2 linked regions of the Chlamydomonas reinhardtii genome follow. The protein of the gene in region 1 interacts with the protein of each later gene in a pairwise test. Links are inferred from orthologs where the notes say so. Each region holds a gene or a part of one and is shown in the gene's direction. Other genes may lie near its edges. The genes, in order: CHLRE_12g516500v5 and CHLRE_06g292800v5.

The links.
Region 2: the proteins of CHLRE_12g516500v5 (region 1) and CHLRE_06g292800v5 interact in binary tests that used the Arabidopsis thaliana proteins (3 or more experiments, as listed by UniProt). The link is inferred for Chlamydomonas reinhardtii from reciprocal best matches to the Arabidopsis thaliana genes CUL4 and FUS9.

The regions. Positions count from the first base shown.
Region 1 is NC_057015.1:3,956,403-3,960,793, forward strand, and holds the start of CHLRE_12g516500v5 (uncharacterized protein), read left to right. Parts: upstream 1-1,540; 5' UTR 1,541-1,678; coding exon 1,679-1,787; intron 1,788-1,924; coding exon 1,925-2,040; intron 2,041-2,275; coding exon 2,276-2,335; intron 2,336-2,500; coding exon 2,501-2,752; intron 2,753-3,001; coding exon 3,002-3,151; intron 3,152-3,421; coding exon 3,422-3,502; intron 3,503-3,721; coding exon 3,722-3,997; intron 3,998-4,200; coding exon 4,201-4,329; intron 4,330-4,391. Other genes in the region: CHLRE_12g516450v5 (uncharacterized protein), read right to left, coding at 188-412, 650-846, 933-1,076, 1,163-1,286. UniProt on the Arabidopsis thaliana protein: Component of the CUL4-RBX1-CDD (COP10-DDB1a-DET1) E3 ubiquitin-protein ligase complex which mediates the ubiquitination and subsequent proteasomal degradation of target proteins. Participates in the CDD complex to light-mediated control of development.
Region 2 is NC_057009.1:6,457,216-6,461,509, reverse strand, and holds CHLRE_06g292800v5 (uncharacterized protein), read left to right. Parts: upstream 1-1,348; 5' UTR 1,349-1,485; coding exon 1,486-1,630; intron 1,631-1,706; coding exon 1,707-1,780; intron 1,781-1,929; coding exon 1,930-2,007; intron 2,008-2,148; coding exon 2,149-2,218; intron 2,219-2,514; coding exon 2,515-2,615; 3' UTR 2,616-3,535; downstream 3,536-4,294. Other genes in the region: CHLRE_06g292850v5 (uncharacterized protein), read right to left, coding at 1-750. UniProt on the Arabidopsis thaliana protein: Component of light signal transduction machinery. Involved in repression of photomorphogenesis in darkness by participating in the CDD complex, a complex probably required to regulate the activity of ubiquitin conjugating enzymes (E2s).

The DNA.
Region 1 (4,391 bases):
GCTTTGCTTCATTCACGACTCCCCCGCTAGCTACGGTAGTGTTCCCCACTACAAACATTTGTCGTTCTATATGGTTAAGCCGTACGCAGCCACTTGATGCGCTCCGCTGCAGCCCCATCGCAACGTTGCTTTCCACAACGCCACCGCTGACCTCTGCTATCTCCTTCACCATCGCCATCGCTGCGCTTTACGCGAAGTACTCCGCCTGCTTCATTTTGAGCACCTTCATGATGCCCTTGTGCTCGCCCGCCAGCTCCGTGTACCGTCCCGGCAGCGATTTGAGGTACTCCGCCTCGCCCGCCCGCACGTCGCGCAGCTTCTTGGCGGGGCTGCCCGCCCACACCTCCCCGGACGGCACGGTGGTGCCCTCCTCCACGTAGGAGCCCGCGGCAATGACGGCACCCGACTGGATCTGCACGTGCAACAAGTCACCCGTGCAGCGGAGACCGAAGCTCTGTTATTAGTTTGCGGCACCAGGCCACAAGCTAGCTAGGCCCGTGGGGGGGCGCTGGCCCAGGCACCACGGCCACGTACCCGCACCTCCCCGCCCCTGCCTGAGGCACGCATTCACCCCCGTGTGGTTCCAATGCCACCGGTGCGCCACCACACTGTCAAAACTTGCCGTTGCCGGCAGGCCCCTCCTGCCCACCTCAGCGTGCTCCGAAATAATCGAGTTCATGCCGATGAGCACGTTGTCCCCGACCGTGCAGCCCTTCAGCACCGCGCCATGTCCAACCGAAACGTTGTCACCAATGGTCACTGGCCCGCTGAACTCGCTGGTGGCGCCCACGTAGGCTGCATCCTGAATGTTGCTGTTCGAGCCCACGACCACTGGCTGGAAGTCGCCTGCGCAGGGAGCCATTTGCCAATGTTTACATACATGGACTCATTATCATACTCCTGCATCATACACGGGCAAGGAGTCGACTTACCGCGAACGATGGCCCCATACCAAACGGAGCTGTTCTCGCCAAGCGTCACGCTGCCCGAGACCATGCCCGAGGGCGCCACCCAAGAGGTCTTGTCCAGGCTAGGCACGTTGTGGCGCATGGGCAGGACCGTGGCGTGCCGGTTCACTGCGGAAAATGGACCCACGCTTCAGTGCCTCTGCTTGGCATCGCAATACAAGGCTACAGCAGATGAAAATCATGCGATAGCTCACGCTTCTCCTCAAACGAGTAAACGCCCTGCAGCCTGCAGCCCACGCGCTCCAGCGCCTGGCCGCTCTCCCGCATGGCAAAGCCCACGCGATGCAGAATAGTCTTCAGGCCATTGATGGGATTCATGGTTGCTGAGGGCAAATCTTCAGGGAAGAAGGATGCAACTCTAATAGGCAAACACGCGGGCCTTCTGGCCCTGGTTCTTGCCTCAGTACAAAGTAATATACCTAAAGACACTAGTTTGTGACTGCACCAGCGTTGAGAGGGCATATGGGGCAAGAGTAGGACAAGCCCATGATGCAGAGCAAATGTTTTCTTCTGCCTCTCTTCTGCACGATTATCCAGTTGCTCCTAACCGCATTTCGCTTGTTATATCCAGTGTCATACATCAGCTCGCGTCACGAAACATACTCGCGAGAAGCAACATAGCGCGTTGCACAGGTTCTTTCGCTCGCGTTTGCCACGCGTGCAGTTTCCGGGGAATGGTTGCTGTTCAATAAAACTTGCGAGGAGCGGGGATGTCAGCAGTAAGAGGCAAGGGCGGGGCCCCGCTTGGGGGTCTCGCCCCTGTCGCAGGAAGCGCGAACACGCAGCAGGCGAAGAAGCTGGTCATCAAGCCGCTTAAAGGTGCGGTACGGGGTCCCTCTTGCTGCATCTGGTGCGCTCTACCCGAAAATTACGGAGTGGGGGTTGTGGAAAAGGTTTTGTGGCTCGCCCGGTCACGCGTGTGTGCGCACCCCTGCCTACCCCTCGGCGCTGCCCAGTCAAGCCCGAGCTCCCCGCCAACTTCGAGGAGTCGACATGGAGCAAGCTGCGCGATTGCATCATTGCGGTGCATTGCAAACGCCCCGTGTCCAACAGCCTGGAGGAGCTGTACACGGTGGGAAGTTCGGCCGGCCGACCGGGCTCTGTTCTGAGGGGCGCCGAATAAGGTGTTGGATTGCGACGAGGGTTGGGTTGCATGGCAAGCTGGTACACAGGCATCGTGTACGGCGTACTGGCGCCGGCGCCGTCGGTTGCATGCAACCAACCTGTCCGAAGGGCCCGCTGCTTTCCGCTGCCGTGGTCGCATGACTGTGTGTCCCACACCTCATGGCCGCAATCACCCCCCGCAGGCGGTTCAGGATATGTGCATGCATAAGATGGCGGATAAGCTTTACACCCGCCTGCAAAAGGTGTGGGGCGGGCTGGCGGGCTGACGTTGGGGCTCGGCCTTGCTTCACGCGCAGCCCTATTCGCACAATACCTCACACCTGCATAACCTGCAACCTCACACGGCCGGCGGGCCTCAACACACGCCACACGCCACGCCACATGACTTATGACGATACCCGACATAGGAGTGTGATGCGCACATCGCGGCGCACGTGGGCTCGCTGGGCGACTGCCTGGGTCTGGACGCGGTGCCGTACCTGGACCGTGTGGACAGCGTGTGGCAGGACCACTGCAGCCAGATGCTGCTGACGCGGCAGATCTTCCTGTACCTGGACCGCACGCACGTGCTGCAGCTCAGCAGCAGCGCCACGCCCGTCAAGTCCATATTCGACATGGGGCTGGCGCTGTTCCGCACACACCTGGCGGAGCGGCCGCAGGTGGGCGGTGGCGGTAGTGGAGGAGGACGGGGGAGGTGGCGGCTGGGGGACTGGCAGGGACTGGTGGGAGAGTTGAGGGCTGCGAGGTGGGGCCTAAGCTCGCGGCGGGGCCTGCGGCCTACGGCCACGCAGGTACAGGTCGCTGGAGCTAGGGCCGCGCAGGTGGTCGACTGCGCGGCTGTGTATGGGCGTGAGCGGTGGTGCTGCTGGTGGCCCTGCCAACATGCCGTTCGCCCGCCTGCTGCGCAGATCAAGGAGCGCACAGTAGAGGGGCTGCTGGAGCTGGTGCAGCGGGAGCGCTGCGGCGAAGGCGTGAACCGGGCCCTGCTGCAGCGGCTGCTGCGCATGCTGTCCTCACTGGGCATCTACACGGACGCCTTCCATGAGCCATTCATGAAGGTGTGGCTGGGCTAGGGGCTTGGCGCAATGGTGCTCTGGAGGAGGCAGGGGCGGGGTGAGAGGGCGGGGGGGATGCGACATGGGTACCGGGCGGAGCGGGACATGCCGGAAGCTTCATGCCGTGGGCCGTGGGGCATGGGGAAGGGGGAGGGGTGCGAATGCCGGAAACTGTGTCACTGGCGCAGGCAATTGGTTGTTGGTGGCGTGTGTCTAGCGCGGCGTGCACCACACCATGCGCATGTGCCTGTGCGTGTCCGTGCCTACCTGCAGGCGAGCGGGCAGTTCTACCGGTCCGAGGGCGAGCGGCTAGTGGCGGAGCTGGACGTGCCGGCCTACCTCAAACACTGCGAGGTGCGGCCAGGAGCAGGGGCAGAGGCGAGGCCTCGGAAGGGCGGTTTATGTACCAAAGCATTTGGGGGCGGGTAAAGCACCTGCGATGAGGTGCCTGCCCGCGGTCGCACCAGCCTGCTGCCATGTCACGCCTCGTTACTCCTCCCGCACACACCATGCTTCCGCCTCCTGGTCCTGCCCTCCCCTCGCCCTGGTCCTGCCCTCCCCTCGCCCACGCAGACGCGGCTGGGCGAGGAGTTTGAGCGCTGCAGCGAGTACCTGGATGCCTCCTCGCGCCGCCCGCTCATCGCCGCGGTGGAGGGCGCGCTGGTGGCGCGGCACACCGGCCCGCTGCTGGACCGGGGGCTGGGGCCGCTGCTGGACGGGCACCGTGTGGGTGACCTGGGCCGCCTGTATGGGCTGCTGGGGCGGGTAGGCGCGAGCGAGGCGCTGCGGGCGGCGTTCCGCGAGTACGTGCGCTCCACCGGCCTGGCGCTGGTCAAGGACGAGGAGAAGGTGCGGAGGCGGTGGCGAGCGGAGCAGGAAGGGCTTGGGGTGCAGGAGGTGACGGGCGGAGGCTGGCTGGGCCTAGGTGTGGAGGCTGCTTGCGCGTGTTGCGCCATGCGGCCCATGCCAGCATGGGAGCTCGCCGCTGCTATGTCGCGAATGCACCGCTGCTCCGCCCCACTGCCTCCCGCTGCCCCCGCCCCCTGCTGCAGGACAAGGAGATGGTGGAGCGGCTGCTGGACCTCAAGTCGCGGCTGGACGAGGTGGTGGCGGGCGCCTTCGGCCGCAGCGAGGCCTTCGCCGCCACCCTCAAAGAAAGCTTTGAGTACTTCATCAACCAGGTGCGATCCGGTGGGAGGCGGCGGGGATGGCCAAAGCCCGGATACCGTAAATGGCGAGGGGC
Region 2 (4,294 bases), on another chromosome or scaffold:
GGTGGCCGCTACAGCCGGCGCTGGCTTGGGGCTAGCAGCCTTGGCCGCTGCAGCGGCCGCAGCCGCAGCGGCGGTGGCTACCAGCGGCCGGCGCGGTGAGGCCGGCGGGCTGCGCAGCAGCTGCGACGCTAGCAGAGGCCGCGCGGTCGCTCGCGAGGGGCTACCGACCAGCACCGGCGACACAGTCGCCGGCATGGTGGCGGCAGCCGCGGTGGCGCCGATGCCGGCTGCTACAGAGGCAGTGCTGCTGTCGTGCGGCTGCAGCTGGTGCGAGGCGTCAGCCGGGCCGGCGCCGGGAGCTCCGTTGGCGGCCGTGGAGGGCGCATCGGTCGTGCCGTTGGCGCTGTCGCTGGAGGTGGCGGCCGGGGCCGAGTCTTTAACTGGGGCCAGCGGAGAGCGCCTGGGCGACGTGAGCCGCAGCACCTCCTCGGCGCCTGCAAGCACGGCGGCGGCGGCCGCGGCGACGGCCGGCTTGGGCGTCCGGCCTCCCTTCTTCGCGCGCTTGGCCGCAGGCTCATCGATCTCCTCCTGCTCGGTGCTTGCATTGCCGGGCGTCAGCGCTGGTGCCCCAACCACACCCTGCTCCGCGGGCACCGACTTCCGCGGCCGGCCACGTGGCCGCTTCGCGGGCTGCTCTTGTTGCTGGGGCTCCTCAAATGCCACGGCCGGCTGCTGCTTTGCAGCCGACGCGGAGCTGTGCCCTCGTTTGCTCACTGTCGCTGCTATAGTTACTGTGGCGTCCACAGCCATGACGTCGCCGTGCTCTTCCGCGGCAACAGCGACCTCTGGCTCAGCTGCTCGCGCCTTGGACGCAGCTGCACGCCCGCCTCTTGCTATTGCCGGCGTTTGCACAGGCGCTGCGACCTGGGCCCCATTTGCGGCCGCAGCTGCACTGGCACGTCGAGTCAATGTCATCAGTACTGACGCTGCCAAGACTCGCGCGAGGCGCTTGTTAGAAGAAAGGGCTGCGACGGTTCACGTAAATGCTGCCCTACGTCTGCCCTACGTGCCTTGCACCTGAGTGCTTGTGTTTATCTGAAGATGTCAAGGTCTCAGACGTTGTCCCCGGCGTGTGTCACTGGTGTTGGCTCTGCGCGCTTGCTTTGAAAACTGAAAATGGCACTCGGCTACCGCTGCCCGGTCTGCTACGTGGGGACAGTCTGTCAGGGGATGAATGTATATGGTGAGGTATACAAAGGTAAATGGCATTCAAGGTCTGCAACGCTGCCTACAGGCCCGCTGTCCATTTTCGCTGGATTTCGAGTTCCCGGGCTCATGCGCGGATGCGCCCCAAATCATGGCCATCAGGTCATTCCACCAGCTTCCACATAAGCTGTGCCACCAATTATATAACTTACAAGCTGGACACTTCTAGGGCAGAAGAGCGAGCCTCAGAACTCCAATTTCAAGACGTGAGAAGCACTGTGAGCCACTGTGATAGTATTCAAACCATCCTTGGCGCTGCATTTGGCGAGGAAGTAGAGGATGAAGGGCAGCCAGCTCTCCTCATCGGCGAAGCGCATTCAGAAGGAGCTCGCAGAGATTAGCTTGGACCCGCCCTGCAACTGCTCGGCTGGGCCAAAGGGTGACAACCTATATGAGTGGGTGTCAACGATTGTGGGACCATCAGGTGAGGACAAGGTCGCAGCTGAAGAACCCTTGGGTTGCGCGGCTGTGCTGAGCCTGCTGCTCCCACTTGAGTGCAGGATGCCCCTACTCGGGAGGCGTTTTCTTCCTAGACATCACCTTCCCGCACGACTATCCGTTCAAGCCACCGAAGGTTAGAGCTCTGGCTGGGGCCCCAGCTGTCGGCATTCGCGCTGCTTTGTGAGGCAATCGCCTTGAACCCTTCTCGCAGACGTACGGGATGATAACGTTTGTGTACTAACCTAGCGCGTTTGGGCTCGCGGGTGTCACGCCGACGCGCAGATTGTCTTCCGCACGCGCATCTACCACTGCAACGTGAACAGCCAAGGGCAGATTTGCCTGGACATCCTCAAAGACCAGGTGCGCGATGCTGGATGGCGCAAAAGGGGGAGGTCTGGCACGAGGCCTGCCAGGCCCACTCGCTTCGCTTGGGCCTGCACCCAACCCAACGGAGGAGCTGACCCTCTCCCCTCCTCGCCTTTGTATACTTCTTCTACGCAGTGGAGCCCGGCGCTGACCATCTCTAAAGTGCTGCTGTCCATCTGCTCACTGCTCACGGACTGCAACCCCAGTAAGGAACACGTTACGAGCGCGTGTAGCACCAACTGGGATATGTGTGGCAGGTTGTTCTAGGCTAGTTGTTGTAAGGCAAAGTCAATGGCGGGTGTCCAGCCGCAGCTGGCCATCACGCAGCACGAATCATGCGTTGTTGGGAGCGTGGAAGTGCAGCGCTGCCACAGGGGCTGCAGTGCTGCGCCGTATTGGCACCAATCACTTCCCGCGCCCGACGCACATGCGGCTGCGTTGCATGCCTCCCCACTCACGGTTCATCCGCACCCTCCTCCCTACCTTTCTGCGCTGCTGCAGAGGACCCGCTGGTGGGCTCCATCGCTAAGCAGTACATGGAGGACCGCGAGCTTCACGACAAGACGGCCGCGGAGTGGACCAAGCGCTACGCGCAGGGCTAAAGGCCCGACCGCAACAGCAGCAATGGCTGCGGAGCTGTAGCAGCCAAAGGAGCTGTAGCAGCTGTGGTGCAGCGTAGAGGCCATGCGGGCGCGCAGCTCGGCGCGCCCGGTCTCGTGCGAAAGCTGCCATCGCGCTTCCCACCCGCACACGGGGGTGGAGGGCTGGGCTGAGTAGGGTATGGCGGCAGGGATAGTTCGCAATGGGAGATTTGGCGCTGGCCCATGCGCGCCACGCTTGTATGCACACCAGCATTTATGCTTAGGAGTCACGTCTGACTGCAGCAGGAGTTGGTCGCGCGATGGCAGCAGGGGCTTTCACGCGGCAACTGGGAGATGGCGTGCACGTTGCAGTTTTCCGCTGTGCAGCGTCCCAACCGTTTCGCGTGTTGTACTATTAGGATTGCGGTGCGTGAATCCTTGCAGGAGTACATGTAGTTAGGTCAATGCGGACGGTCGATGCGGAGTGCCATGGCATTGGCCAGCAGGCCGCGTTGGCATGGTGTGTGATGGGACAGGGTTTAGGCAGGTTGGCGAGGTCCCGTAGGGTGCAGCTGACGCCCATACCCCAAGCAGACGGCAAGCCAGTTGCAGCGGCAGAGCAGAAGTGCATGGCTGGCCGCGTTGGCATGGTGGTGAGCATATCGCTTCACATGCGGCAGAGCGAGTCAGCCCACACCCTTATTTGACGGCTGAGAGCGGTCGTCGGCACCACCGTGTACGTGAGCTGGTGCTAGGCGTGGCAGGTCTAGGTCAGGTCTATCTGGCATTCAGCCCTTCAAGGGACGCCTATACTGTTGTTAGCTGGCCGCCTCTGTTGATTGTGGGTGATGAGTTGTATGTTTGCTAGGCATTGCAGGCAGCAACAGTCACCCCATGCTCACCCAGAGATGAAACGCGTATAATTTAATACACAAGGGATGCACAACACACCGCGCCGTACAACCACGAAGAACAGGGTGACCCCTCGAGACCCCGTTGCAGAGGGTATCGTGCGTGGGGCGGTCCCACAGGACCAGCAGCATGACCGGGTCTTGCACAGGAGTGCCCAGCGCCCGTAAGCATGCAGTGAACGCAATCAGCGGATGGATGCAGTGATGCGGTCAGGTGCATTGGCGGCGGAGGGAGCGGACAAGGGTGTGCCTGTTGATGGGTAACACGGGTTTGAGCAATGCAACGCGTCGCATCAGCGAGGGGCGGGCGCCGGGCGGGTTGGGGTGTTGCTTGTCCTGGCTTGTCAAGTTTCCCAGTCCGTGGAACCATGATGGGCATGAGGACGCAGCTTAGGGCCATGGGACCCAAGGCGCAGTGAGGCCGCATCTACCCCTGAAGGCCTGAACCTCCAAGGCTCCAGCTCAAACCCCACCCCTCCCTGCCTGCTGCTGTCAGTGGTGGGCTTCACTGTGCTGCATAGCTCGTGCTCTCGCCCTGGCCCCTGGGCATGGCCTTGCGCCCCTGCCCTTCGTGTCCAAGGCACAATGAAGCTGTAGTCACGACATGGGCACGAGGCACGGCAGCACCCTTCCATCACTGGTGCCTTACCCTGGCACCGGTTCCATGGGATTAGACATGGCTGAGCACCTCCGCTGCGCACGTCGCCGTTGTGTGCACAAGTCCGCAAATCCCCACCAAAAGTGACGCCACCCAAATTTGCGGACTTGTCTTCAGGGGACGTAACACTT